Alligator mississippiensis: one gene and its partner. The protein of the gene in region 1 purifies or fractionates together with the protein of each later gene. This does not show direct contact. Links are inferred from orthologs where the notes say so. Each region holds a gene or a part of one and is shown on either strand. Other genes may lie near its edges.

What was found.
Region 2: the proteins of B-cadherin (region 1) and PLEKHA7 purify together in Homo sapiens (co-immunoprecipitation; 3 studies listed by BioGRID and IntAct, with this or other methods). This does not show direct contact. The link is inferred for Alligator mississippiensis from reciprocal best matches to the Homo sapiens genes CDH1 and PLEKHA7.

The regions. Positions count from the first base shown.
Region 1 is NC_081833.1:76,122,407-76,137,987, reverse strand, and holds the start of B-cadherin, read right to left. Parts: upstream 8,004-15,581; 5' UTR 7,943-8,003; coding exon 7,898-7,942; intron 7,801-7,897; coding exon 7,689-7,800; intron 1-7,688. Other genes in the region: B-cadherin, read right to left, coding at 14,661-14,867, 15,377-15,523.
Region 2 is NC_081825.1:193,065,286-193,080,602, reverse strand, and holds the start of PLEKHA7 (pleckstrin homology domain-containing family A member 7), read right to left. Parts: upstream 7,277-15,317; 5' UTR 7,260-7,276; coding exon 7,168-7,259; exon of another isoform or gene 7,148-7,167; intron 7,069-7,147; coding exon 6,992-7,068; intron 6,887-6,991; coding exon 6,829-6,886; intron 1-6,828. UniProt on the Homo sapiens protein: Required for zonula adherens biogenesis and maintenance. Acts via its interaction with CAMSAP3, which anchors microtubules at their minus-ends to zonula adherens, leading to the recruitment of KIFC3 kinesin to the junctional site.

The DNA of each region.
Region 1 (15,581 bases):
CGTCACCACGAGCCCTGCGGCAAGGCGGCGCTGAGCATTTCCCAGGAGGCAGGCAGCAGGGAACGGCTGCCAGGCTCATGCAATCCCAGGAGCCTGCAAACCAGAGACCGCAAGGGAGCACTGGGTTTTCCAGTCCGTCTGCCTCCTTTCTGGAGACGTCGTGTGTGTCACAGCCGCTCCCCCGGATCGCAGCTAGGAAGGGGCGGCAGGGCTCACCTGGCGCTGTTAGAGGCGACGTGTGGGGACCCATGGGTGCAGGGGTGCCCGGGCGGGAGAGCAGCTGACACCCCTGGTACCTGCCACGGTTCAGAGCCCTCGTTTCGTCACGGCCACGTGGTGACGCAGCTCTCACTTGAGCTCCGTGGTGCTCACCCACTCCTCCCAGTTAGGAGCTGCTTGCAGAGGGTGGGAAGCTCTGGGCAGCTGCAACCCATCCACCCCCTATCCCAGCCGCGCCTTCCCCATGCTCTGTGCATTGCTCAAGGCCTCTCCGTGGCCCGGCAGAGGGGGCAGCGAGAACCCCAGTGCCACCGCGGTGCCAGCCTGGAGCCGCTCCACAGGCGAGAGCCACTTCTGCACTGCGTGCAGCCACGGCCCCTCTTTCCACGGCGGTGAAACCCCAGCCGTTTGCCCCAGCGGCAGAGGCAGGTGCGTGCTGACGTGGCACCGCGTGGCTCAGGGCTTCCCGAGTCAGCTCCGGGAAGCAGGTTGCAGCAAGCACCGAACAAACGCTGCCCGGTCCCCAGACCTCCAGCCCCCGCAGGCTGCTACAATCCCTCCCCCGGTCCGGGGCTGGGCAGGGGGAGACCAGAGTCTCACAGCCGGGAGGGAGCAAACCTAGGGTCCTGTGGCCACCAGGCCCAGTCAGCAGCGGTCTGTCCCCTGCTAACTTGGGGTACTCGGAGCCGTGCAGGGCCTTGGAAGCATTGGCTTCCAGGACTGCTATCGACTGGGAAAGACCCCCGTCCATTGTGCTCAGTTTCCCATCACACAGGCAGAAAACGAAAGCTGGAAGGGAGAGCAACCTGGGTCTGACCACGGGTTTTCCACGGTCCCTCTCCCTTGGACCTTCCTCGACCTGGAGACTGCGACTCAAGGGCCGTGCCCCTCACTCCCTGCTCAGCCCCTTTGCTCCAAGCATGTCCACTCCCTTGGTGGATCTGGCCGAGCTCTCAGTGTCCACCACATCCAGCGGCTGTAACCTCCACGCGTTAGTGACCCGTGGGTGAAAAGGAACTTCCTGGTGTTCGTTTTGAACCGACTGCCTACTTATTTCAGTTTGTGACCCCTGGTTCTTGCCTTGTGAAAGTCAATAAGAAATCCCCATGGACTTTCTCTTCACCAGTTAGTATTTTGTAAACCCTTCTCATATCTCCTTTGCTAAGCTGACCCGGCTTGTCCCCTCCAGTCTCAGCTTGCATGGAAACCCCTCCGTACCCCTCATCCGGTTGCCCATCTCCGGACCTTCTCGAGTCCTTCTATGTCCTTGCTGAGGTGCGGGCACCAGAACTGGGCGCAGTATTCAAGGTGTGAAGGCACTATGGATTTATAAATGGGTATGATGAGAGGGGCTCTCGCACCCTCTCGGCCTGTGCCTCCCTCAGCAGCAATGAAGCCTCCTGCAAGGGGGGGCCCAACCGCGTCCAGCAGCCTGTCCTGGGGAGAGCCGGGCAGCCCTATGCCCCTGCCTGAGGCAGGGAGATCTTTTTTTTCTTCTTTAATCCAAGTCCCAATTAGTACCAAATGCAACTGAGCAAAGCTCAAAAACTGAGCCTACAAAAATCCATGGGTTGTAGGACTCAACCGGGCCAGCACCCTGCCAGGACTACAGACCTGGGGCTTCAGGGGCTCCCCAGATCCAGGCAGGCAGCCTTCATGCAAGTCCCAGGCCTCCGGGATTTTGGATGCCCCCAGTCATGCTTGATCTCAGCCGGGGCAGGGAGGCAGGCTGCGCCCCGGGAGGGAAGGGCCTTGGCTATGCAGCAGGAGGCAAGGGTGGTTTGCACCTTTCTGGGCCCCCAGACTGAAGGCAGGGCAGAGGTGCCCCTTTATAGACCAGCAACATCAGGTATGGATATAAAGCACGAGCTTTCTTGAGCCCAAGTTCAGTATCAGACTAACACGACCAACAGCCTCTCGGTGTAACAGGAGACCAAGCCGGGTGCCACCGTCCAGGGCAGTGCCTCTCCAGGGTGGTGTCTGTGCCAGGGGCAGGGCGTGGGCAGACAGCAGAGCTCAGCTTGTGGAGCAGCACAGGGATGCATCACACCTCGCCTCGCTGCACGCACCTGTCCTGCTAGGAATATGCAGGAGTCCTTTGTATAATCCCCCCGCCATGAAAGCTTTCACTTTCTGCCCTGTCCTTCCTTCCAGCCAAGTCTCCTTCCACCCCCTGCTTTCTGGCATCCCAGCCAAGAGCGTGCCCCTCTGGGGTCCCTGCCTGGCTGCAGCCCGGGGGAGCTGCACGTTCATCCCCAAAGCCCCGGGCTCTCGTGGCAGCAGCTCCCAGCTCAGCAGCTTCTCAGGGGTGCCGAGGTTTCACTGCGTCCCCCTGCACTGCCCCAGACCCAGCTCTTTTGGAAAGTACCTGGAGACCTTTCACATTTCCCAAGGGCTCCAAGGAGGAGCCAGAACTTTCCTGTTGCCTGGGGGAGCCGGCTGCCTGGCAGGAGGCAGAGACGGGATCGGGTTCCCCGCAGCGGGTGGAATTTAAAACTGAAACACATTGGGCAAGGCCCCAAGTGACCCCACCCCACCCAGCTCCTGCACCCAGCTGCCAGGGCCTCAGTGATCCAGGGAACTAAGTGGCTGCACGGACACCTTCCCCAGGCAGCTAGACCCATAGCGTCTCTCTGCCATGGGCGCAAGGCTCTTGGGCCATGCATAAGTGATGGGACCTGAGAGCTGATGGCTCAGCCTCCCAACGGGCGATGGCTGCAATACGCCTGGTGCCGGGTGCGTTCACAGTGACGGCCTTTGAAGCACGGAGGCTCCGGCACCTCCTGGGGCACATTTTCTCCGCAGCCGGTGCCATGCTCCGAGCCAGCCCCCTGCATCCTGGCCAGCAGAGCCAACCCCACGGCCTCACTTGCACCGACCGGGGCAGGGGTGAAGGAAGACACTGGTCTTCCTGACTGCTGGATGCCGACAGCTCGCATGTGGGGCTGCCTCAGTTTCCCTGCAGGACCCCCCTTGTCGACTCCAGCTGCAGTATGAGCTGCAGGGGAAGGTGCTGAGACCCCAGCCCTGGGATGCTGTGAGCATGTCCCTGCCCCCATGCCAGACCCAATCGCCATCCCAGCCAGCCAGAGTCTGAAAAGGATCGCCAGCGCTTTAAGACTCTGACCTCCTACCCCCACCCCAGGTCAAGGTCTGGACCGAAGCCATCGTGTGGCACGGGGGGTGTCAGCGCTAAGGACAGGGTGCGGATGCAGAGCTCCGCTCGGACATTGGTGCCCAGGGATCAGGACTCAGCGTGGTCACTCCAGCTCCTGGCTGGGCAGGAGACGCAGCAGCCTCCAGCCCAGCCCCGGGGGCAGGTAGAGCAGGAAAAAGCACTTCCTCCCCTGCCTTCCCGGGTTCCTGCCAGCGGCAGGTTATTCCAGCCCGGCTTTGCCACCCCAGCCCAGGTGGGAGCAGAGGCCTGGAGCACAGGACCCGAGTGCAGGGGCAGCCAGGCCGGCGTGCCCCCCCAGCAGGGCCCACTCCCACATGCGCAGGGCAGGGCTGGTGACATCACTGAGGAGTTTCGCCCCGGTCCAGACTGGCTGGGCGAGTTTCTCCTGAGAGCTGACTCAGACGCCAGTCACCTGCGTGTGTACACAGCGGCTGTGCCACCCCCAGCCGGGCTGGGAACGCGCCAGGCATGGCGCTCAGCTCTGGGACGCCAGCCAAAGCCTTGCCAGGCTGCAGGAGTGGCCGGGGCCGTGCAGGGTGGGGCTGTGGGGCTCAGCACAATGGACCCACCGTGGAGGGACCAGATGAGCTACAAATCCTCTTCCAACGGGGTGCATAGGATTACCTCCCCCTCCACTTGAGGCCACTCTCGGGTGGAGACAGGGCTTCACCCCCTTGCCTGTCGCCCTGTCGCTGGCTAGCCTGCCTACAGCTCACTCCCAACGCCCTTGGTGCTAGTTGTTGCCCCCAACCTACAAGTCCCAGCATGGGTGCACAGGGATTTGCCCAAGGCACCACGAGCAGTCAGTGGTTGGGAATGCTTGGCTTCCAGCTCATCCCCTCCCCGTACGGCAGCTCCCCCCAGCAAGCTGGCGATGGAGGCGCGGGCGCTCCCGGGACTGCCTCGAGGAAAGCAAGCAGCTGCTGATGCCCACAGGGAATCACCCAGCGGGAGGCTTTCCTCCACACAATTAATGCATCCCGGGCAGCTCCATCCAGCCCTCCGAGGGGAATCCTCAGTGACGGGTCTGCAGGGAGGGTTTTGGGTACAGTCCAAAGCACCTGGCCACTGCCCAGGAGCAGCCCTGCTCAGGCACTAAGTGTTCACAGCGGGTCCAAGAGAGCCCCTCGTGCCTGGGTTTTCCTCCTGCCCCCACGCACAGGCCTATCCAGACCTGTCTGGGAGACACCATCCTCTCAGCCGCGAATGGACCCAAGTGCAGTTAGGGGGTCAAGGCCTGTCCGGCGCACTGCAGGCAGGCTGACCCCGCGAGTCTATAATGCCTCCGATGGGGGCCATTGATGGTGACGGGGGACTGGTCTCAAGCTTTGCCCCTAGCTCCTTCAGCCGTTCAGCTCAGGGCAAGCAAGACCAGGGGCACCTCAACCTCCAAGCCTCTGGGCTTGCACGTAGGATGCCTGCCATGGATGTGGGAACTTCTGAAGCCCCAGACTGAAGAAGAGTCTGGAAGAGAGGAGACTTGCCGGAGATATCGCCACATGGACTTGAGCTCTGCTCAGTCAAAATTCAGAACTAATTTGGCCCAGAAACAAAATTTGATTTAAAAAAATCCAGACAGGTCCATGGGAGGGGCCTGCCTGGGCGCTAATCCCCTAATTACAGGCCAGTTCTGCCTCCCTGTCACTGTGGATTATCACACCAGAAGCCTTGTGCCCTGCCAGCACCCTGGCACGGCCGCCCTGCTTGCCCGGCGAGGCAGTCTCCAGCCTCCTGCGCCCGGGGACCAGCTCTTCCGCTGGTTGTGGGCAGCTGAGGCCTTACAGGTAACCTGTGTGCAGCTCCCGGGACAGGGCTACAAGGGCTCTCTCCAAGCTACGTCTCACCAGCACTGAGCTGCCTCCGGTTGCAGCCCCAGGTGGACACTGTCTACACTGCCCCGTGCCCTTGGGGGCACCAGCACCTGCTGGGCTACTCCGGTCTGCAGCCAACAGGCTCCTGGTCCCAGGGATGGGAGTGCTTTGCACAGGGACTCTCCTGCCACCTGCTCCTGGGCTGAGCCTCTCCAGAGGGTCAAGCCGGCTCCAGGGTCTCGAGTGCGGGCAGAGAGCAGGGAGGAGACCTAGGGCCATGTCTCTGCTCTCGGCCCCCGCACCCGCCCCTGCCAAACTTTTGAAACAGAAAGCAGCGGGGCTGGGAACCTGGGGAATTCCCACTCAAGGAACCGGGGCAGTTGCACAGAAGGGTGGCTCAGGCCAGCGGGGAAATCACCGGTCGTGGTAGCGTAAGGCAGGACCCCCGGGCAACTCGTGATCAGGCAAGAACCAGAACCAAGTGTCCCAGCTGATTTGGAGACACTGCTCTGCACCACGAGCTGCCAGGAAGGCACGGGTGCCACGGGTTTCCCCATGCGTCTCTCTGCGACTCCTCTACTGGCTGCCTCTGGGCTCTAGCATGTTCCCCCTCAGACAGGACGGAGCCAGAGCTGCCTCGCAGCAGCTGTGTTGTCGCCACCAGCCTCGTCACCCATTAACCAGGAGCAAACAGCACTTCCATCGCAACCTCTCGAAAGCCCCAGCGCAGCCCAGGACCCCCACACACGCCATGCTTTGCAATCCCAGCACCAGCCGCCCCCACGCCGGCTCCCTCCCCCAGCTACAGCACAAATGCCAAGGGAAAGAGGAAGCGTCACTGCTAACTCAGGCCTCAGACCAGCTCCCACAACCGCTGGCATGCGAACCGGGGAGGGATGTGCCCCTGCAAGGGGCTGGGGCAGGCTGCATGCAGCAGGTTGGTGTAACTGCAGCAAGCGCAGCAGGCTGGCTTGTCTGGACATAGCACCCACATCCCACCAGCCGGCAACAGCCGCTAACAAAGTCATGGACAACGAGCCACGCCAGGCAGCGCAGTAGGTACAGCCCAAATTACGAGCTGCATCAGCACCCCTCTGGCTCTGGGGCTCAGGTGCCAGCAGGCAGGTCTTTGGAGGCCAGCACAGACCACGCACTTCTCCAGCCACCCCTGCTGCTCCTGCGGGCCCTGGGGACAGTGCTCTGCCATCACTGAGAGGATGCACAAGACCCGTCTAGTCGGCTGCCTCCAACCAGCTCTCCCCAGACAGACCCCATTGCTCCCTGCCAGCCAGGAAAAAGCCCCTGGTTGGCAAAGGGAAGCCCAGCTCATGTGCCAACCCAGGGTGGGAACAGCTTCAGCCTTCTTGCAGCCTGGACATCATGCTGCGACTACCTCGGGGAATGGCCCGTGCATGTGCTCTCGCCCCACGGCAGGTGCGGGGGACCCTGCTCTGCTCTGGGGCAGGAGCGCACACACACAGACAGCTCCTGTGGCACAGCTTCCATGCCCTTGCATGCCCTGCAGCGACTCCTCCACATTGCCAGACCCCGTGGGCTGGCAGCTCCTGCTGTCCTGGTGTCAGCCCTCTCAGGGAATCCCCAAAACCATGACCCTAGGGTGGGGACCAGCAGACCAACACAGCGCCCCCCAAGCAGCTGGGGACCCATGCCCCTAGGAGCTTGGGGTTGGGGACACCCCAGATTTACAACAGCCTGTCAGGTCAGCCCTGGGCAGGGGGCTTTGGCAGCCAGGGGCGCCCGGCAGAGAACAGAGAGGCCCTGCACTTGCTGTGAACACCACCATTGAAACAGTGCCAGGCATTTGTGCAGTGCCAGGGGAGAGAGCTGCCCCCACCCTGCCCCAGACAAAAGCACCCCTGGACCAGCTCAGCCCACTGCTTGCATTTGCTCCTCGCCCGCCAGAACCGACTGCCCAGGCACTCCCGAGCGCAGCCCTTGGCCGCAGCGTGCTGCCCTCCAGCTTCCTGTTTGCACCGCCCCAGCGCAGGGCGAGCCGCGGGCGGGGAGGTGGCACCAGCCGTGCCTGGTGCGATCCATCAAAGCCGGGTTGTCAGAGTTCAACAGTCAACCGGAGCCCCGCGCCCGCCCAATGCGAGTTAGAACAAGCCTGCTCCCTCCCTCCCTCCCTCCCTCCCTCCCTCCCAGCGCCGGGAAAGGGCAGGTGGGAAGGGGCTTTGTGCTGCTCTTTGCCTTTCCCTGCCAGCGGCCAGCCCGCCCCTCTCTCGGGGCCTTTCAGCACCTGCCGCCCCCCCGGGACGCTGCACCAGGACGGCACGGGATCCTGATGGGGAGGGGCACTGGGCACAGGGACCCTGGGGGGTCCTGGAGCATGGGACGCAGGGGACTAGGGGTCTCGGCACGGAGCACGGAGGGATTAAGGGTCTTGGGGCACTGGGCAGGGGGGCACAGGGGCACTAGGGGTGTCGGGTCCCCTGGGCGACCCGCGGCGCAGCGCTCACCTGAGCCCAGGACTCTGCCCCTCTCCAGGCTGTGCCGGCGCACGGCGAAGGTGAAGGTCTGGGCGCTGAAGCCGGGCTGGCAGCGCGTCTCCTCGCACAGCCCCGGGCCGGCCTGGCGGGGAGACAGCGTGAGCCGGGTGTGGGTGGGGATGGGGATGGGGATGGGGATGGGGTCGGGGGTCGGGGTGGGGTCGGGGCCGGGGTCTCACCTGCAGCAGCAGCAGGAGGCAGAGCGCGGCGCCGGGCGGCCCCATGGACGCGGAGTGCGGGCCGGGCGGGCGCGGCGCGGGCAGGTGAGCGGCCCCGGCTCCGCCCCGCAGGTGGGTCGGGACGGGACGGGACGGGACGGGCCGGGATGGGCCGGGCCCGGGGGAGGTCCTCGGGGCTGCGGGCGGGGGTTTCCGCCTCCCCCGGTCCTGCCCCTGCCCGATGCGTGTGCGGGGCAGGGCGGGATTCCTCCTCCTCCTCCCCCGCATCGCGCTGGTCCGGCCTGGGGGGCTGCCCCTCCCTCCGCACCCGCGGACCGGCACCCTCCTGGAGAGGCGGGGCAGGGTGTAGAGCTGGGACACGGGGTTTGATCCTGCCCGGGGTGACCCCCGTCTCCTCCCCATAGATTTCATAGACACTAGGGCTGGAAGGGACCTGGGACCACCATCGAGTCCAGCCCCTGCCTGAAGGCAGAAGTCAGCTGCGGTCACAGGATCCCAGCAAGATAAGCATCCAATTTTTTCTTGAAGGTGTTCAAAGTGGGTGCTGGAACCACGCCGGTGGCAGGCTGTTCCAGACCTCGGGGGCTCGGACAGTGAAGAGATTCGTCCTTGTGTCCAGCCTGAATCCGCTGCGACGGAGTTTGTGACCGTTCAACCTCGTCATCCCTTGGGGCGCTGTGGTGAACAAACGTTCCCCCAGGTCCTGGCGGTCACCCCTGATAAACTTATAGGTGGCGGCGGACTCTCTGAGACCAGACGTGACAGACCTATGCCCTGCCCCATACGTGACCACTCTCATGGTCTTAGGAGGCTGCCCCGGGGTGCCAGGCACAGGGGATCCGGCTGCCCCCCCATCAGCAGGGCTGTAGCACCAGGCAGGTTTCGGGGTCAAGGGTGTCATGTCCCGGGGTGCTGTTTGGGTGCATTGGCTTTGCAGCCCCCCTGGGGAAGACCCCAACAAAGTGCCGATGCTCGACCCCGTGCGCTAGGGACACCCGTGACTGGGAAGTGGGACCAGGGACCTCAGCTTAGAAAGCAGCCAGCAACCACCAGCAGCTGCAGGCCCCGGGCCCCAACCTCAGGAGCCACCAGGCCTTCGAGCTGGCCCCAGGGCAGGGGCAGGAGCCAGAGAAGTGAAAGGAGAAGGGGAAGGTGTCTTCCCACACCCTGTCTGAGGGCGGGCGGCTGGGAGCGGATGCTGGGCAGGACGAAGGTGACAAACAGGGCTGACAGGTGAGGCGTGGGGCCACCTCTGCCCCAGTAAGCTCAGCCTGGTGACGGGACATGCCGGGTGGGGCTGCGTGGGCAGCAGAGCTCGGGCATGAGCTGTTTGCTGCAACTGCAAGCGTGCTAGAGCCAACTGGCCCAGCGCAGGGGTGGGCTGCTAGTCCCCCCATGCAGAAGGGACCAGGGCTTTTGCTTCACCCCTGCAGCTTCCCTCCAGCTGGGCCCCCACAGAGCTGCATGGATTGCATAAGGCAGGAAGCCTGGAGCGGGGCCTGCTGTGCCCAGGTCTTAAGGGCAAAGTTCTTGCTGAACAAACACCGAAACTGCAAGTGCTGCAGTGGCTCAGCTCTGCTTCCTGTCCCTGCTGGTGTGGCCAGCCGGATGCTGTAGCTGGACTCAAGGGCAGCCCGAGGCAGGGGCACATAGGGAGCAGGCAGGCGGCTGGGCCTGGGCATGCAGGCACCACGTGCTGCAGATGAGACGGGCTGCGGGGGATACAGCAGAGCTGGCCCCCGTGCAGGAGAAGGAAGTGCACCTTGCTGGCAACAGCTGATGGACCAACCACAGCTTGCGCGCCCGCAGTCGCCACCACGACTTCCTCCTCACTCTGCCTCCTTCCTGGTCTGTCATGCCTCCCAGGAGCCCAGGCATCGTCCGCTCCCATCCTCCTGCCTGGGGTCACATTGTACCGTATCCTTTCCCCCACCCCGTCTTCTCCAGCCTGTGGGTCAGCAGCAATCAACCTCTGGCCTGCAGCTATGGCCAGGGCACCTACCTGCCCTGCTCCTTCCTGCGCTGCGCTCTCAGCCATCCACCATGCGCTTTCCAGGCCCTCCCTAGACCACCCGTCACTGTCCCCAGTTCACGCAGCCTCCGATGTCAGCTCCAGCCTCCCTGCCTGGGCACTGCACCATCAGACCAGCCTCTCGCTGGGCCCCGGGAAGGGGCTCCTGCTCCTTTCAGTCCCTCCTTACCACTTCCCTCTCAACAGCCTCTGGTCCTGGAAGCCCCGTGGGGCAAAGGTCATGCGTCTGTGCAGCACCCTGGCCCAGTCATCCCCACAACACCCGGCAGCGGGCTGGTGACCACCAGGCTGGTGAAAGGGGACGCTGCCCTTGAGTCCAGCTTCCCCTTCCACTTGCCCGGCTCCTGCTGCTTGCTGGCAGGTGATGGAGAGCAAACGTGGTGCCAGGGCTCCCACGGGCATGCACTGGCCAAGTCGTGCCTTAAACATTGAATTATTCACTGCTGGCTCCGCAGGGACAGGCAACTCCAGGCCTTTCCTTCCATCCCAGCAAGCAGGTGCTCTCCTGGGTGCAGTCCTGCCCAGCTCAGTGCTCACCTGATGACCACAATCTCTAGCATGGCCCTGCGCCAGGGGACAGAGGGACCAGGGGGCATAGGCTACCCCTAGGACTAAGCATGTGCCTGGAGGGCGCCTGCTCCCTGTTCTGACCTCAGCAGGAGGAGAGCAAGGTTCATCGTGGAGCATGGGGAGGCCAGCTGGGCCATGGGCATGTCCTATTCGAGCAGCCATAGTCCTTGCCCTGAGACTAGGAACAGGGCCCAGGCACAGGAGAGCTGGACCCTACCCGTGCCAGGAGCCCGAGGGGGTGGTATCCTTCAGAAGTGCAACGTGGGGAGAATGGGCAGCAGCAAAGGATGGAGAGGGTGATGAATGGGCACAGCAAACAAAGCCAACAGCCAACCCACTTGTGCTCAGTGCCGTGCCCGGGGTGCCGGAGGGGAGGTGCGAGCTGCTTTGCATGGCCAGAGCCTTGCTCCAAACACTGCCAACAGCTCCGGGCAGGAGCGAGGAGGTGCCCAGGCTCCTGCCCCACCCCTTTCTCCTAGTCACGTCCTTCGGCATGGAGAGGCCTGGAGCTAGGGGTCGGGGTCACCCTCCCAGGACCAGATGGGGGGGTAAGAAGAAAGGGGGCAGTAGCCAAGTGGGGCAGATCCCTCCTGCCGCAGGGGCTGCCCATGCCTGCCTCCTTTGCATCCAGGGCCCTGCATGCATAGTAGGGTTTGTTTTCGTACCCCCTACCCTCCCACTGGAAACATGGCTCACGGACCTGTGGTCCTAGCTCCAAATACACCTACCCCAAGCCACTGAGACCGCTGTTGCTCCACTCCCCCTCTTCCATGGGTCGTCACTGGCGGGTGTTGGGCTGGCCCCCAGCACCCAGGTTGCATGGGAAGGTGCTGCGGAGGCAACTGAGGAGAAATAAGACCTCTGCCTTATTGCTCACCGCTATTGTCAGGAGCCATCCTTTGCACTGCCTCCTGCCCCTCCAGCCTGTCTCCAGCTGCAGCTGCTGTCCCCAGAAGGCCCCTTGGGGTGGGCTGGGGCTCCATGGCACATCGCTGGCACCTGCACGTGGGAGCATAGCCAGACAGCTCCGACCGATGCCAGCAGCGAGCAGGTGGCACAGGTGAGCAGCCACCTGAGCTGCACCAGTTACTATCATCCCTGTCCCAGCAACCCGCGTACCAAAAGCAGGGGCAGCAAGCAGGGCATGCCAGGCCAGGAAGCCCAGCAGCCGAGGGGGCGAGCGCACCCAGTCTGCTCTGCAGCCCGGGATGGTTTCAGAAGCACCCACAGCAGCTCCCCAGGGCTGCCAGGATCCCACAGGCTCAACTGGGAGGCGGGCAGGGTCATGCCAGTCCCAGGTGGTAGGCCAGGTGCCTGGGCTACAGGGCAGGGATGCATTCCCTGCTCCCAGTGCCCGCCCCAGGGACCGGTCCCAACCCTGTGCCATGCTGCCCCCTGCTGGGCAGAGAAGGGAGCCGGGCCCTCCCACGCCCTGGATCACTTCGGGGTGCAGAGCTGAGCCGCAGGACGTGGGGGTGGTGGAGGGTGCCTCCTGGGACACCCAGCCGGGGGGCTGCTCTGGGGGAAGCTGGGCAACACAGGGGCAGGAGATGGCTGGGGAAGAGGGCCCTGAAGGGCTGCAGCACCCGCGCCGGAAAAACCAGTCGGACCAGTCACCAGGCTGCTGCAGAGGCTGGGGGGATGGAGCAGTCCCTGCTCCCCCCCACACCCAGCCTCAGGTTACAAGCTGCTTTCTGAGCAGGGAAGTACCCCCTCCCCCTGGGCCCCTGCCAGGATGCATTACTCCAGGCAGGTGAAAGAGGCCAGGTGAGGCCTCTGCTCCCAGGCTGGGGAATCCCAAGTCCCAGCCTCAGCCCGTGCAGGCAGGCAGCAGCCATCCCCCCAGGGAGGTGCCCAGCTGGAAGCTCTGCAGCCAGTGCTCATCCAGGCTCCTGGCTTCCTCTCCTAGCTCTCCATGCCCCAGGCAGGGCCATTTCTTCCTGCTGCAATGGGAAAGGTGCCTTTTGCTATCACTGGGGGAATCGCAACAGGCCACCCCTGTCCCATGCACAACAAACCCATCCCCCAGTCCATTAAGGCAGCAACTCTGGGTACTGCTCCCAAGGAAGTCCACAGCCCCCATAGACTTCCTGCAAGGACCCAAGCACCAGGTCCCGGGCTCCAAAGAGGGAGTCCCAGCAGAAGGGCTCTCTCTGCCCCCACAGCTCCAGCTGTTCCCAGCAAAGCCGGAGCAGCCTGGGCCAGCTGTGGCTGCGCAGCCCCCACAGCACAGGGGAGTTGCTGTCATTATATCAACTCCACTTCCCCCACAATGCTCGTTAGCAAGGCCACAGGCGAGAGCCCAGGCTGGGGGGTGGCAGCAGCACCCAGAGCGAGGCAGCAGCTGAGCTCTCTGCAGAGATAAGAGCTCTGCAGGTGGCTTGACCTGGCCAGCCTGGCCCCCTGCTCCAAGCCCTTGCAGCACCAGCCATGCCCCAGGGGCACCAGGGAGGGTGTTCAGCTTACCTATGTTGCTGTACACCCCACCCCCATACCACGAGGGTACCTGCAACTCCCATGCCCAGCCCAGCACTGCTGCCCGGGGAGCAGGGGGCAGAGCAGGCAGCCCCTGCCCTTGGAGGGTGCTACCAGGGTCACATTGTGCTGCATCTCCTTCCACTGCACCTGGCTGGGCTTAGGCCTCATCTCACCCCCGGCGGTAGAAAAGAGGGTTATAGCAGATCCAGACTGGAAGACAAGATGCTGGGCCTTGCTGCGGCTCTAGCTCTTTGCTGCACAAGACCTGCCCTAATTATTGCCCTGTAGTTAACAGTGAAAGCTCAGAGGGGGTAGTTTCCGAGGGGGGCTGGAGGCTAGTGAGGGCGAGATGTAACAAGGAATCTTTTATAGGGCTGCAGCGAGACCACCCCTGGAGCGTCGCATCCTGGTTTGGGCACCGTGTCCTGGAGGAAGAGGTAGGGAGAGAGGGTGGAAGCCTTGAAAACCCAACGCATGAGGAAAGAGCAAGAGAACTTGAGTAGTTCAGTCGAGACAAGGGAGAAGAGAGAAATACAATAAATTGTGGTGACAGCCAGGTAAGCCTGTTCTGGAAGCAGATGAGCAGTAAATCGGTTTAAACGACTGCAAGGAAAGCCTCATAGCCACGTGCTTGTTAAGCACTGGGGCAGATGACCTCGGCGATGGGACAGCCCAAGTAAAGAACAGGTTCCAGGGGCCAAGCGAGATCTGAGCCCAGGAGAAGAGAGGGCACGGCCCGGCCTGCCTTCTGCAGGCTCCCAGCTGCCTCAAGGCACTGGCCCCAGGCATTGTGCCACCACTGTGGCAGGGCTGGGTTCCACGGTGCTTGCCCCCACATCTCAGACACCCCAGCACTTCCACCCCAGCCCGGCTCTCAGGACCCCCAGCAGCTGGTTGCAACTCAGCAGCTCCAGTCTAAGCAAGGCAGCTGGCAGTGCTTGTTGCACCCCTGCACCAGGGGCTGGAGAGGTCAGAGCACAAGAAATAGTACAAGGCAGTGCAGCAAGACCCCTCGGTAGGGGAGGCCTCACAGACAGTCCTGCAGGAGCAGGTAGAGACTAGGGCTAGCGCCAGTGCCAGCCCCCTCCCGGCATGTCCTACCCTACCATGCAGCAGGCTCCACTCCCCCCTGCCCCAGGATGGGACTGGTGTAAAGAAGCAGGAACTCAGGGCACTTAAAAAAAAAAAGAAGTACTTTTAATAAAACTAACATGGTAGGACCGTCCTGGCCAAGCAGCGCCCACATCGCGCTGGGGATAATCGTACAAAGGGAGGGGAGAGAAGCGATAGCCATGGGGAGGTACAAAAAAGGAGGCAGCAGCTATCTGATGCTGCAGGGAATGGTTGGATTGAGGCGGCAGCGGCATGTGCAAGGCCAATTTGAGCACAGCCCCAGCCGCGGGCACGGGGGGCCAGCTGGCCCAGGCTGAGAAGCCAAGAGCCGCTGGCCATGGGGGGATACGGGCTCCTAGCTCCACAGGGGATGGGTCCGTGCGTCTGCACGTCCAGAAGGCACCAGCAGCTTAAGGCAGAGAGCTACAGGTCGGAGAAGCAGTGGGTTCAGCCCTGCAAAGGTCTGGGACGACAGCCCCCCCGCGGGGTCTCCTGCACGGGGACCCGGCTGCGTGGGGCTGGCATCCAGCTTCCACACACGTTGCTCCGTGCAAGGCACACGTGGGGCCCTTAGTCCTCGCCGCCCCCATACATGTCGGCCAGCTTCTTGAAGCGGCTGCCCCAGTCGTGCAGGTAGTCGTAGTCCTGGTCGCGGTCAGAGCTGGTGGAGTCAAGGGAGCTAAGCGAGGCGGCCTCGGAGCCGCTGCCCTCGTAGTCAAACACGAGCAGGGAGTCGTAGGGCGGCGCCGTGGGGTCCGTGTCGGCCGCCTTCAGGTTCTGGGGCCGGGAGGAGGCAGCAGGTGAGCATCTCCCTCCCTGCCCTAGTGCAGCCTGGCCCGTGCGGGCTTTGGAAGTGGCTCAAGCTTGGTGTCCAGAGACATCCCGACACCCAGCTTGAGTGGGGGCTGTAGAGCTCAGCTGGCAGAGACTGGAGCCCCCCACCCTCATGAGACCAAGAGCTTTGGGGCAGGAGGACATGGCCTTGGAGCCAGAGTAGTGCTTCTGCACCGAGCCCTGCACAGCACCCTCCTCGTGGCACCAGGACCTGCCCCCCCAAGGCAGCCGAGCATGGGGACCTGACTACACAGCACTGAGCCACGTCCTCAGCTAGGATGGAAGCACCCAGAAGACTCAACCCTTTGCCTCCAAAAGCCACGAGAAGACCCTGGAGTGGAGGGCAAGCCCTCAACCCAGGCATGGACCAGGCCCTGCAAGGACACAACTGACCCCAACACCATGTCTTGGGCTCAGGCCAGCAGGCACGTACCCCCACCCACGCTCCTCACCTCATCGATGAAGTTGCCGATCTCGTTGGGGTTGGCGGGGCGCGGCCGGTACTGCGGGGTTGGCACGAGGGTGGGCACCACGTCATTGCGGAGGATGACCTCGGGGCGGGCATCCAGGCCCCGGTGCAGCTGGCTGAGGTCGTAGTCCTGGAAGGTAGGTACAGCATGGGGTCAGCGCCCAGAGCCCCATTACTCCCCTCCCATC
Region 2 (15,317 bases), on another chromosome or scaffold:
TTCTCAAAGCATGTGCCAGATACACGATTTCTACAAACAACAAAGTACTAAAGATATATCAAATAACTTCATATATGTTATAAACAATGACATTTTGGCTGAACAAAATCAAAGACACTTCTGATTTGATCAATCTTGCCTAATAAGTCAAAATTAGTACATAGCCCAAAAATCAAACAACTGACTGGCTTAAGAAATAAATCAATGAAGAAATAACTTCATCTATTTTGAGTGTTGGTTTCCCACCATTTTCTCTTTAATTTTCAAAATACCGAGGATAAAATCTGAGCACAATATTACCATAAATCAGTCCTATTCACTGACGCTTCTGAGATTGCATCAACATTATTTTAACATGGTTACAATGTTTCTCCTGTGTTATGCACACAATTTTTTATATTGCCACGAGTCAAATTAAGCCCTGTTACAATTATCTAACCCAATGTATTGGCAGAAGAGCTATTTACATAGATAGACATCTCAGTTATTTTAATAAACTATAAAAATGCAACAAACAAATCATTCCAGAACTTCCAGTTCTTGTTCTAGCAAAAAGTCCTTCAGATGACTAGCTGGAGGCACTAACTTAGTGAAAACAGTTCAGATGGCAAGCCTAAGCTTAAATGCATATGTATATATAATGCTTTTTATTAACTATTTTAGCATTCTTTCTATTCACCAACTTGCTCCCAACTGGGGAGTTTGCCAAGGTACCTCACCTCTTTCCCACAAGTAACTCAAGAATCTGAAACCAATTTGAGCAAAAAACACCTCACACATCTGCTAGTACATCTGCAATTTACTCTCATAGGCCCAAGGGTCCAACTGCTATGACATTCAGGCAGAGAAATATGAGTTCTAATATAGAGTCATACAAATTCAGCAAGTTAATTGCGACACAGTTTTGACCCACACAATGTATTTGTTTAATCAGTTTCAATCGGCTAAACCAGAGGTTCTCAAACTGTAGTCCACAGACCACCATTGGTCTGTGAGCTCCCTTCAGGTGGTCCTCAGAAAGGTGACCTAAGGCTAAAGCTGACAAACATTACACCCAACTTCCCAGAACTTCGCTCAAAAAAAAACAGGCACATCCATTGCATTAAAATGGTTAAGACTACTGATATTAAAGTATGAGTTGTGCGCTTTGATTTGTAGAACAAAAGAAGTTTATTAAGTGGTCCGCTGAGACCCTCAGCAATTTTCAAGTAGTCTGCGGAAAAAAAAGTTTACTGAGCTAGACTTTTGAAAGGTATTCATTGTCTTAAGATTATGATGCAGGGGTTTACCTAACAGCATGTGCAACTCATGAACTGGGCTGGCCGATCACTATGCAACAATAACCCTATGAGATGAAAAATATGAATTTGGCTTCAAATATATATTTCCCCTTTGTTAATTCAAAATTGAGCTGAAGTAGTATTTTCTAGGGCACAACCAAAACAAATAACTTTGTTTCACTTTCACTTAGACCCATTATTGCTAGTTAGCTATGTGAAAGCTATCAACAGGCATGAGTTTTTATTTTGTATTTCCTCCCCGCCCCCCTTTTTTTAAAGGAAGATTGCTTACTGTTAGGGATAGTTATTCACTGGAAATTGTACATAGTTTGACATTAAGGAAACACTTGCATTAAATAGCTTTAAAACCAGGTACAAAAAGAAAATCCTTTTTCAATTGTTCCCTATTTTCAATGAATGAAAGTGTGACAACATCTATTACATAGCTTTCATTTAACTGTATCACCCAGAAAAGGCTCATAAGAAAAATCTAAGGCCCCTTCTACACATGCAGGTAAAGGCACAATAGGATCCAAACCACAGGTGTGGGACTGATCCCAGGTTCCCCCTGCACCAGCAAGAAGCAAGCCTCCTGCAACTGGGAGTGACTCCCAGATGTGGGGAAAACACATGCACCCCTACAGCTGAGAGTTGGAGTAGCAGTGATCTCCCAGCCTCAGAGGAAAATTGCAGCAGTGCCCTATGACTGCCAAGACCCATCTGAGTCCTGGTACTGGGAGGCACACAGAAGGGACACAGCATCTGCAGCTGCAGGTGCTGCCAGGACCCAGAGTTGGCAGCTGCTGGGGCTGGAAGTCCCCTCAGTTGCAGGACTCCAAGAATGGTGCACCTCTACAGCTGCGAGCCCCCATCAGGTGGGGAGACCTTACTACCCATACAAATTAAAGCTCAATAGCAACCAGCTACAAAGTTAGTAAATATTTTTGAGGTCTAACTTTATAGCTGTTGGAACTTTTTATGGCATGATAGCTATTTTGCATGTGTAGCTGGTCTTAAGGTAATTGTGCAATTATCCAATTAATATACCATGTAGAGGAGGCCTAAGTGTCTCCACACATTTCAATAAATGCTCAGTAAGAAAAAAAAACTGTTTGTAATTCAAAATGAAAATACTCATCTGGGAAATTAAGTGAGGAATATTTAGTTGACCATACATTCATACTTTGGCTTACTCCACACTAACTTCCCTACAAAGCAGACACCCAAAAGTGTATTTTTGCATAATAAACAGAATATGCACAGTGAAATATCAAAATATCCACAGGGTGAAATATCAAACCCTCTTCTTAGTCTTAAATCAAAGTAATCCCTCCTTTTTACCACTTTTCAGATTAAGTTTGAGATGCAAGATGTATTTGATATGCAGCTCCTACTACATTTGCCACTACATTGCACAGCATCTAGCATAGAACAGAGTGAATTAACTTAAAGGAGTTCAAGCTATTGCACAAAGCAATGAAATATTATACATGGTAACAGCAAGCAGGTTTTCTTATCCTAAGATATTTCAAGTTGTAACAGAAATTAAGAATTTCCAACACAAGAAAAAATCTAACTTTCAGACAGGTCACTAGTGAGCAACCAATGAGCCTGAGAGAGTTTTAAATGCATTTCTTTGCAAAGTGTACACTTAGTTAAAACTTGTGCTTTTGAGAAAGAAGAGATAAATGAGGTAACATAAATGAGAGCAAAAAATGGACATGCTTAGATGAATTAAACTAGGAAAGGAACATGAAAATATTATGAAGCTTGGGGAAAACTTCCTGAAATAAAAGCCAGAAGCAAGTTGTACAGTTTTTAGGTGCCACAATATTTTGCACAGAAAAAAATGGAGTGAAAAGAAAGAACCTCTCTCCATGGAATGACCACCTAGAAACCCCAGCTGCGTCTCCTGTCTCTTCCCTCCTCCCCCGAACTGCAGCAAATTCCAAATGGCATCAGCTCCCACAAATCTTTAGGCTCTGTATATCACTACACAGGTAGGAGGACATGAAATAAGAGCAACTTTTTGAAAAATACCTGGAGAATGAAACTGCCAAAACATAAATACTCAATCCTGCTGAAAAAATTATATTAAAAGCAAGATAACCAAGACACCCTGTAAATATCAAATCCAAGTACAGAATATTTTACAACCAAGCTTTCAAGGTCCTATGTCACACTGTAGAAATAAAATGACAACTTTTCTAGAGATGTTCCACCTTCCCAAAAGCCACAGAACATGCAAGAGGGCATCTCATCTTCTGAGGTTTTCTAGACACAACACTTTCTTCCTATAAACCCCCCCTCCTTGCTCCTCTGTTCTCAGAAACATGCGTCTTTAAAAATATAAGCTATCATTCCAGATGAAACAGAAACCACTCCATCGGTCCATCTGACATAAAGCCTCCAAATGACATAATAGATGGAAAATATCTTTCCTTAACCTCCAGGATCCTGGAGCTATCAATCTCCCATCATTTGTCTTATTCTATGCACTTATACTTAGCAGGTAACATCCACAGTATTTATGTTTCAACTAGAAACTAACTAACTCAGTATATTACACCATTGCAACTTTTCAATTTTGTCATTCATTTAGGGACATTTCCTTCAAGTACAAGAAAAGAAAGTAAAAATAATAAAAATGTTGCGGAATTAACAGGAATGGGATGGAGGGAAGAATAACATAACTTGTGCACAAGATCAATCCAGATATTTTTTATTGTAGAGCTGTTATGGCAGTTTCAAGTATTTGATTAAGGGTGACAGGAAAGTTGCCCTAATGTGCAGAAACAGACAAAAAAAGTTACACAAGTCTGCTGTTCTAGTCCAAGAATTAAGAAGTGGGTAAGGAAGAGGGGGAAAGGGAGATCAAGACTGAAAGGGGAACATTTTAGCAGAGGGAGGTTACTTACTAGTGTATTTTCTCAAGGATCAGTCTTGGAACCAGTCTTGTGTACTATTTGTATTAATGATCTTGGCACAAAAATTAGGGACATGATAATAAAATTTGGCAATGCCAGAAACTTGGGAATTACCATCAACAAAGATGAGGCTCAGAACATCAGGCAGTAAACACTGGCTGGGATGAAAATTAATAGCCCCAAACAAAGTCATGCATCTAACAACAAAAATTTCTACTATAATAAGAGACAACAGGCCTGGATGTATCAGTCACTTACAGGAACATTATAAGCCATCAAATAAACACGAAGCCTTGAGAAAGGCAAAAGAGATTCCAAGATGCATTAGGGGAGTTGTTTCCTCTAGACATAAGGAAGTACTAATAACACTAATAGGACGCGTCCACACGAGCACGGACATTCAGTTCCCCAGGGACAAGCAGCAGCAGTGCATCTTGTGCCACTGCTTCTTGTTCCCAGAGAAAGCCCATGCCACATGCACTTTGGCATGTGGCAAGTTGCCCTGGGTGGCACAGGGGAGGTTGAGGCCAACACTGTACTGGCCCCAGCAGCCTTACCTGGGGTTCCTGGGGGCTCCCGGAGCTGCAGCCATGGTGCTCCTGTTGGGTGAAGCCTAGCTGGCAGCCACAGCACAGCTCCACTTTTTAGCAGCACACGCTGCCCAAGCATGCACTGGTCCATTTTTGTTCCTGAGGGGGTTTTTTGACCCCTAGATAATCCAAGGGTAAAAAAAAAACAAAAAAACAGAGCAGCACATACTTGGGCAGTGTGCCCTTGCAGTGCAGAGAACACCAAATCGTGCTGTATGTGGCACTGCAAACGTGTTTGTAGTGCCACATACAGCACAACCGCGCTTACCTGGACACACCCAGGAAGTTTCTGGTTAGACCTTCATCTAGAACACTGCTTACAAGTCTAGTCATCCACATTTGAGGAGAGTGAAGTCAAATTGATGCAGGTGCACAAAAGGGCAAGCTGAAATGATCAGGGGGTTGGATGACCCATCTTATGAGGTAAGACTAAAAAGAAAGTGGCTATGTTGGTCAATAAATAACTTGGGGGATGCAGATGGAGAAGAGCTATTTCAGCTCAAGACAATGTTGGCTCAAGAACAAATATGTATAAACTACCCACAGATAAAATCCTCCTCATCCTCATAGACTCGCAGAGAAATACAGCTGGAAAGGGCCTCAAAAGATCACCTAGTCCAACAAATTAAGGTTGGTAATTCACAAGAGTCCTAAAGCAAACAGGTGGGAGCTTCTGAAACAGCCACCCCATTTGGTAGACTAGGATTTTAAAAAAAAAAGCTAACTAGTTTTAGGATGCAGGTTTATCTGCTTCCAAAAGGGATTGTATGTGCTGGGTGGTCAAATAAGTAATTGGACTGATGCTTCTGGAGACTGTTTTCAGTCCCAGGAGGCAAATCAACTATAAATGAATGATCTACATTTATAAACAATGTTGGCAAGTTCTTTATGGAAACCACAAACCAAAAAAACAAAACCAATACTGAAGACACTGGTGTGATTTATCAGACATGCTGGGCAGATTCCCAGCTACTCTGGCTGGGATCTCTTGGACATCAACATTTCACAGAAGCAGGATGTTGCCTACTGCCGTTCCCCTGGGGCAGGTTGGGGCATTAGGTGTGTGCTGTGTCAAGGCTGATGGTGGTTTTCCAGAGAGTTTAGATGACAGATTTGTACAGGATGCTTGGGATGGGGCTAATCAGGCCTGGCCCCAGGCAGGGGGTTGGACTCGACGACCTCTGGAGGTCCTTTCCAGCCCTACTTTTCTTCTATGCTTCTAGGACAATGGTTTTCAACCTTTTTTCATTTGCAGACCCTGCCAAAATTTCAAATGGAGGTGCAGACCCCTGTAAATTATAAGTGTGGGTATTCACAAACTTTTCATTGATCGTAGTCATCTTTCGCAGACCCTTTAGACATAGTTTGCAGACCCCCCAGGGGTCTGCAGACCACATGCTGAAAACTACTGCTCTAGGATACTGCCACGTTCACCCAGAGCCTTGAAGCTCTTGGATTTGAAGTCATGCCCCAAAAAGCCCTGCCTCCTGAGCCAGACTCTCCTGCAAAGCTGGCATTAGGAAGCCTCCTGACAGAACACCCCGTTTCTTAACCCAAATCCCTGAACCCCATGCCGAATCCTGGTGCCAGAGAAGCAGCAGCAGCCGGATCTCCACAGTCTGCAGGCAGCCCAGTGAAGTGCCCCTCCCTCCCTCCCTCCCTGCTGGCTGCTACAGTGTAAACACCACAGGGAGGAACCAGGCTCCCTCCTCCCCTTTCCCAGGTGGAACTCTGCTGGGGGGGGGGAGTGTGTGTGTGTGAGAAAAGAGATGTGTGTTGCTGCTGGGGAAACAAATGTGTGTGTGTCTAGGGGGGCTGTGTGTACGTGTTGCTGCTAGAGTAGGGAAGGAGGGAGGGTGTTGCTACTAGGGGGACAAATGTGTGCATGTCTGGGGGGGCTGCGTGTGCACGGGCGTGTGTTGCTGCTGGGGGAGGTGTGTGTGTGTGGCGGAGCCCGTGCCCCGCGGAGGAGCGGGCGGGGAGGCAGCCCGCGCCATGGCAGCCGGGCCGGGCCGGGCGCCGAGTACTCACTCGATGAAGTAGCTGGCGCCCTCGTCGGAGAAGCCCTCCTCCCAGCCGCGGGGCAGATCTGGGGACACACGGGGGGGGGGAGGGGTGAGAAGCTGCCCCGAGGTGCTGGGGGGGGGAGTCCAAGCACACCCGGGGCAGAGGCGGGGGCGGCCCCAGCACCCACCTGAGCGGATCATGTGTCCGGAGTTGACGGGCTCGCCGCTGCGCGGGTGCAGCCAAGTGGTGGCGCGGGCCAGGTCGCTGCGGGGACGGGACGTGCACCTGTTAGCGCGGGAGCGGCGAGCGGGCGCGGACACCCTCCTCCCCCCCCCGCCGCCGCCGCCGCCGCCGCCGCCTTACTCAATGAAGAAAACGCGGCCGTCCCTGCACACGCCGTAGGACCAGTGCTCAGGTAGTGCGTCCCGCGCCACCGCCGACGCCGCCGCCGCCATGTTCGCGCCCGCCGGCCCGGGCCCGACCCGACCCGCTGCCAGGCCGCGCTCCGCAGCGCCCCCCGCGTTGCTAGGGGCGCGCCCCGCCCCGCCCCCGCGTGCACATGTGAGCCCGGCAGAGCCCGCCACTGTGCGCCGGTCAGCCCGGGAGCGAGTGTGTGAGAGAGCCCTGAGGGCATGTGCGAGCAGGAGTGTGAATGAGAGCCTGTGTGTGAGCCCACGTGAGTGTAAATGCGCGTGTGAGAGTCTGAGCCCGTGTGAGTGTGCATGCACAAGAGTGAGCCCGTGAGTAAGTGTGTGAGTGCCCCTGAGTGCCAATGTGTGAGCCTGTGTATGAGGGCCACTGAGTGAGCAAGCCCAAGTATGAGCCCTTGCATGTATGCAAGTATAAGCCCTTGTGAGCACATCCATGTATGAGAGTCCATGTGTGTGTAAGTGTAAGCCCATGTGTGAGTGTAAGTCCATGTGTATGCCCCTGTGTGTACAAGCCCATTCATGAGTGCATGTGTTCATCCCACCCCCAGCTATGCCGCCGCCTCAAAGGGAGCAGTGAGGCTCACTGTGACATTCACCCCCTCCCATGTCTTCTTTCCTTTGTTGTGGCTGGGGCTCGGGGGCGATGGCAACGGAAAGATCCCTCTGCCCAGGGACCAAGGGGCTGCTGGCCCAGAAAGGGCTGCTTGGAGCTGCCAAATCTCCTGTCTGCTGCAGGACTGAAGTGCAGCTCCCTGCAGGTTGGGTGGGCAGAGTACTGTGGCAGGAGTGGGGGGGAAGTGCACTCCACTGCTCTTGGGAAGTGGGGGTGCCTCATTTCCACTCCTCCCCCTGCCAAAAAAGCCTACTGGGTTCGCTTGGTGACCATTTCTGTGCCTCATTCCTCTCTACCCCCCAAAGAAACAAAAAAGAGAGAGGAACAGAAATGGTACCAAATGAACCCAGGAGGAAGTCAGTTTTAAAACGAACCACAGGGACAGTGGCAATGTGTAGGGGGGGCACAGGGGTGCATGTGCACCCCCTGAGAGTGCTGGTGCACCCCCTGAGAGACCGCGCTCCCCACTTAGGCAATGGGCAGGGTGGGTACCAGTGCCAGCAAGAGAGGAGGGGCACCAGGTGAAGCGCCGCTGGCACTTCTGGAAGCACCACACCTGCATCCCGGTTGGCACAATCGGCCATGGGGGGACAGCCCCCTAGTTGGCAAGACTGACCATGGGGGACACCCCCTCCACCCCAGTCCCTGACTGGTTGCTGGGGGGGCATGTGCCCCCCCCCCCCCAACTCAGGTGGCACCAGTCGCCCATGCACAGGGAGGTTTTTTTCCCCACACAGCTCAGTTATGCTGCCATGGCCCAGCTTGTCACCAGATATGGTGGAAGCTGACAGTCTAACCCGGGCATGCTCAGCCTTCACCCTGTGGGCCAAAGGCATCGGGCCTGTGTGGCTCCTCACACATCAGGAAATTTGTTGGTGGGGGAACAGTGCCCCTCTCCACTGCCAACATCCTGGCCCAGAGCAGCATTTCAGAACTGGACCACAAACCTCCCCCTCACACAGCCAGATCAGGGCTTGGCCAAGCTGCCTTTCTCCACAAGGCTGGATTGGGACCAGGCTGCCAACTCCCTCCACCCCCTCACCCCTGCACAGCTGGATAGGGCCCCACGTTGTGTGCCCTGAGTGCCAGATTGGGTCCACTGGCCAGTTCCAGCCTACAGAGGGACCCAGCACTGCCCATCCAGCCGTCTGCAGAAAAAGGTTGAGCACCACTGGTCCAGCCAGATTCACAAAGGGATTGAACAGATTCTTAGAGGAAAGGGCCATCAGGAGCTATTGAGTATAGGAGTTAGGGATACAGCCTCTGAATCAGAACTTCTTAGACCTTAAATCCCGGAGGCTGCATGTGAGTATCAGTGGAAAAAAAGTCCCTCATCATATCCAGTTCACTCTCCCTTTCAACATTCACTCTTCTGCCACTATGACAGGTCTATTTGATGTGTTTAGGGGGAACTTGGGCCAATGCCCATCAAGTAAAACTATAAGTCCCTCTTCATATGGGAGGCCACTAAGGGCACATCACCAGATTACTGGCTGTGTGACACGGGCCTGTTTGATGGGAATTGGGAGCATGGGCCATTGCCCACTGAGAAGAGCTAAAAGACCTCCTTAAGCTGGGAGACCACAACATGCACACCAAGTGATTACCAGGGACAACTAGAGAAGAAAACAGGGACAGAAGTGAAGGTTCGAGTTTCAAAATGAGTGCACCAAGGGGGAACATGGAGCAGCTGTGTGACACAGGAAACTGGGTAAAATATGGTCTGACTTAGTAAGTGGCAGTTCTTATGTTAGGGGGGTACCCATGCAGCCCTCAACAGCTTGCCAAAACTGGGTAAGCAGAAATAACTGCCTGCCCCTGCATTACACACGAACCGGTTTATGTGATCAGAAACTTGTTTAAACCTGTAACAGAACTGATGTTTAGTGTGTGGTGGGCCAGTAGAGGGTGCTTCTGCGTTGACCCACCCACCTCACTGCTCCCGACCACCTTCCAGGCTCTGAGTGCCTCTCTGGGGGTGCCTCATGTCCAGCCGACCCTCTTCCTGGAGCACACCTACAAGCCTAGGGAAACGCTGCCACCACCCAGGGTCTGGACTGATCTTGGCCCTGTGCCCACTGGGAAACACAGGCCTAGTGGTCCTTGAGTGTACTTCACTCACTGCAAGAACTTGGGGTGCTTCCCTCAGTCTGAAGCACAAATAGTGGTCACCCTTAGTCAGCCGAACCAAGGGGACCCCAAAGCATAATCTCGACCCTCTCCCAATAAGTAGCCCATGCTAGGTACCAAGGAGAACTTTATTGGTTACAAGGAGTAGGTTTGGAATAGGGTACAGGGTAGAGCAATATCATAGAAATCCCTTAAAGCAAACAGTGGCATGGTAGCCTTTAATTACGCACCTGTGCTACTGCAAGCTATATATCTAGTTAGATCTCAAGTAGCTTACTCACAAGTATCATCCAGAAGCAGGTGGAGATTCCCTCTGGAGGCAAGTGGTTCATTGACCATGAGTTCAAGAGAGAGAGCGAGTTTCAGATGGTCCAGCTTCTCTGAGAGTTTTCATCATGGCTGCTGCCCCATCTCCTGGGCAGTCCTTAAATTATATAGATTTATGACTTCATTTACCTGACCTAATGAAGGCCAGCACCTGTTGGCTGCCAGCCAACCAATTTGAAATGCATCACTGGGTGCTGGGTAGACTGGCAAGGTCTCTAGCCCCCTCCCAGTCATGATGACATTGCTTGGAACAATAGGGTGTTTAAGCCCCAATCCAGATGTGTGAGGTCAATCACGCAGGCAGAGGGAGCAGGTTTCCACCTCCAGCTCAGGTTACAACTCAGGCTTACCTGAAGCCAGTGGGGCCAGGGGTGTCTGCCCTCTGCAGTGACCATGGTAACCAAACTGTCAGATTGGTAACCTGCCTGATAATAGAGTTTGGGGAGAAACAGAGATGGTATTCTGCCACGGTGCACATAAATCTGTTTGAGAAAACCGTGGTTGAATGTAGTATCAGACATAACTGGTTTGGGTCAAACTGGTTTATGCAATGTCTGTCCCAGACCCCTTGCTGGTCTAAGATAAATCAGACTCCCCCAGCATCCTGGCATGCTCTCTGGGCTGAGTGGGGCTCTCTGCTCCCTGGCTACAGATCTGGCAAGACTGAGTTGCTCCCTCCTCTGACCCCCACCACTCCCTGCTAACCAGGAATTCCTTCCCTCCCCTCTGCTTTGTGGAGAGGTGTATGTATATTATCTAGCAGATCATATGCTGGCTAGCTGATAATGTCCCTCTATTGTTTTCTTAATGGGGTGATAAACTGTTATCAAATTCCCTGCTGGACTAATCAGAGCATCCTACCTGGGATTGGCCACCCCCTCCCTCCCCCCCCACCCAGCTCAGTTCTATGCAAGGAAAGGGAGGGCTGCTCTAGCACTCTGGCTTCTAGCCTGAGCCACTGCAGGCATGTGCTGGCATTTCTGGGATGTCTGCACACAGTTACAAAGTGATTCAGCTTAGCCAGGTTAGACTAACCTGCAAAGATTGAATCAATTCAGGCTCAGGCTTTTTGAATGCCTGTCCCTAGCCCCTACGGTTGCTCCCAAGCACTTTCTTCAGCTCTCTGAACCTGTGCATGTGAACATTACTTGGGGGGGGGGGGGGGGGGTACAGTGCAAGGCAAAAGAAAACAAAAGACTCTAAGAACTCTAATGGCACATCTACATGAGACGCTACTGTGCAGTAGCGTTGGCAGGCACTAACTCTGACAGGATGTTACTACACAGTAGTAATGAGCTACTGTGCAGTAGCTTCTGAAAAAACCTGTGCAGCAACAGTACTGTGCAGTAACAACTGCACAGTCCACCGCTCATGTAGACGCAGCCTAAGGGTAGTAGTATTGGAAGGAGACCAGGTGCATGTTGCACACATGAGCAATCTGGGCTTTGATTTTAGTGATCTGTCAAGAGCTTAATAAGTAAACATCTGTGGTTTGATTCACAGTAAATTAAGATAAAGCACATATACACAATTGTTCTTTACTATACTAAATGTTCTCTTCTATTTTCTTAGTTATGTCTTAATTTGCTGCACTGCATAATCCCTCTCCCTAGCTGATCACTTCTCCCAAATCTTAGAAATATCTGTACCCCTGTTCTTTAGTCATCAGTAAACCAAGATTTTTCTAACCTTTTCTCTCGAGTTAAGCTTCCAAAAATCAAATTCTTTTACTGGGTTTTTTTTCTGAATTCCCACCTAATTTATCAATATCTCTATGATGAATCAGTGCTCAGAAATTAGTAATTATTGCTGGGACTACGCACTGTAATGGCAACAAAAACACAGTTATTTACTTCCTACTTAATGCCAATAAAGTGCTTAAAGCCATATCAAATACATAAAAAACAGTACCTTGTCCTGAAGAGTTTAATTTATTTTTTTGTATTGGGCCAAACTTTTCGCACCTGATTAACTTCATGAGCTAATGAAATTGGCTTATTATGCCCTGGCTTTCCCACTTGACTCCTTTGATCAGATGAACTTGTATATTTATAATAATAGTCTTTGTGTAAACTATTACTAAAAATCATTTGAGGCTTGTCTTCAGTGACATAATAGAAAAATATGTTCAAAATCATTGAAATGGAATTTAACTTCCCCCACATTAAACCCATTTTGGATGCCTGATGCATAAGCAACCATAACATTTTTTTGAAACATTCTATATGTCTAAGAACATATATTCCCTCTTTTGATTACAGCTCTTTAATCTGCACACTTAAGTCCTATTTTCATCCCTGTAGGTAGGCAAAAAACAAAAACAAAAACAAAACATATATCGTTAGAAATATGTTAAAGTGACATAGACCACATATAGAAAAACAGAATATTGTATTATAGTTGAACAGGACCTATGTTTCCATACAAGATGAAAGTCACTTCCTGTTTGGAGCACTATCATTCCAGATTAGTGATCTTCCACCCAAGTGCAGTGTCACCAGGGGGTGCCTTGGGATCCATTCAAGGGTGCCATGAGGTGCCATGCAGCTTTAGCACTGTTAGGTATGCAAACACGATTCACAAGATACACCCAGAATTTTCAAATAGGAATCCATAGTATTAAAAATATTCTGGCTTCTTGTGATCTTTCTGGGCTTTTTGCAACAGAATTGTTCTATCATTTCTCTATTCAAAATAAAAGAGTCAAAACTAAGAGCTGGTGCCTTAAATGATCGAGGGGTGCGTGGAGTCTAAAAAAGGTTGAGAACCCTTGTTCTAAGTGCTTAAAAATCAAAAAACTAGCTCATTAACTTAAAAATTGCTGTGACCTCTGGTGGTGCAGGATAAGACAAGTAGTCTTCGAACCAATAGTTTTCCCCAATGATTGTGTGTTTACAGATTTTCCTACCTTGTGCATGTATTCATATACTCCCAGTTTTGTAGATGATGCTCAGATTATGGCTCTAGTATGGATTATGACTCCTCGAACTGATTTCAGGTACCTAGGATCTCTGCGAGACCATGGCACTTTGGGATAATATTGAAGAAGTTATTCAGAGTTACATTAGGAATTTCAGTAAAAAATAATATGAACTAAAGAGAATGAAGTATGCATGTGCAGCAAGTCTAAGGGTCTATTAAAAACTGATGCTAAATTGTGTCCTCCACCTTTTACCCCTTCTTTTAAATTCCTGCCCTACCACCCATCCCTTTTGATCTGCCACACACCTAAGTCTCCCTCTTCTTTATTCCTTCCCACTTTTGATTCTCCTCTCACTCTGCTTCCTGCACCCTGGCTTTTCATCCTAAAACTTCCATACCTCTGCACTGCTCCAACCCTCCCTAGCTCCATACCACAGATGTAAGAATCTGGAAGTATTAGAAGAGCTGTGTATCAGGAGCTTCTTGACCAACTAAGCTTTCTTTTGATAACACTTAGTCCCAACGTATCCAGGATAGTAACAGAATTTAGGCTGTATGTACCCTAACTTTGTACTTTTGGTTTCCAGAGGTTCAAATAATTGATCTCACTATTCTGGAAGGGCACAAAGCACAGGCAGACAGACTTAGATATCACCTTAAAATCCTTGCTTCTAATATATTTCCTGGGCCATCATGGCTACAAAAATACTCTAACCATCACTCTATTAACACAATTTTGGGGGTATTAATTGAAATAAATTGGTTTACATATGAAAGCCACACCAACCAAGCACTCTCAGATGAAAGAAAAGCCATACACAGCCTATAAGAGGTAAGTGGCCAAATTTTGGGGGACTATTAAACACTGCATCTGAGTTTCAGTCTTGAGCAAATAAACACAAAGTGTACATTAAAAGAAAGATAAATTTCAAAAATTTTAATTCTCATAGAATCATAGAGTCATCGAAAAGTAGGGCTGGAAGAGACCTCCATAGGTCCTCTAGTCCAAATTCCTGCCTGAGGCAGGATTTATCCCTATTCAAATCATCCTGTATAAATCCATTGTCTAATCCAGTGGTGCTCTACCTTTTAGCCACATGGGCTGGGTGAATGGTATCTGCCTTCTGTGTGGCTACATCACACTGCAACCTTGTATGAATCTGTGTTCTACCAAGACTCCCAGATACTTCTCCATGGTGCTGCCACCCAACCAGGTGTCATCCATTTAGTATTTGTATTTTTGATTATTCCTCTTGAAGTGTAGTACCTTGCATTTATCAGTGCTGAACTCATCCTGTTAGCTCCAGCAGAGTTTTTCACTGTGTCAAGATCAGTCTAAATTTCTGTCCTGTCCTCCAACATGTTTTCAATCCTTCCCAGTTCAGTGTCATCAGAAACTTCCCTTTCTATTCCAGCATCCAAATCATGAATAAATGCACTGAACAGCACTGGACCCAGGACAGACCCCTTTGGGACTCCAACTCAAAGCCTCCTGCCCTTCTGATATGGATCCATTTATAATTACCCTTTGCTTGCAGTTATTGAGCCAGTTATCTATCCACCTTATAGTAGTTTTGTCTATCCCACATTTCTGCAATTTATTTATAAGGAAGTCATGTGGGACTTTGTCAAAAGCCATGCTGAAATCCAGATACACTATACCCACAGCATTCCCTTCATCCACCCAATGAATTACTTTATCAAAGAAGAAGTTCTTGGCAACAAGTGACGATTTACTTGATTTTCATTTGACCTTTGCTGGAGCATACCACTAGAGAGAAAGAGCTTGGAAGAACTGTAGGCCAGGCCATACTCACTAGGGCTGCATGAAGCTTTGGCTGCTGATTCGATTCAGCAGAGATTCAGCCCACTTCGGTGGCCAAATCTGAATTGAATCAGGAGAATCGAAACTGAATACACTACTCCAGATGTGGCCTCACCAGTGCTGAATAAAGGGGAATAATCGCTTCCCTTGACCTGCTACCAACACTCCTAGTGATGCAGCCCAGTATGCCATTAGCCTTCTTTGCAACAAGGGCACACTGCTGGCTCATATTCAACTTATTGTCCACTGTAACCCCCAGGTCATT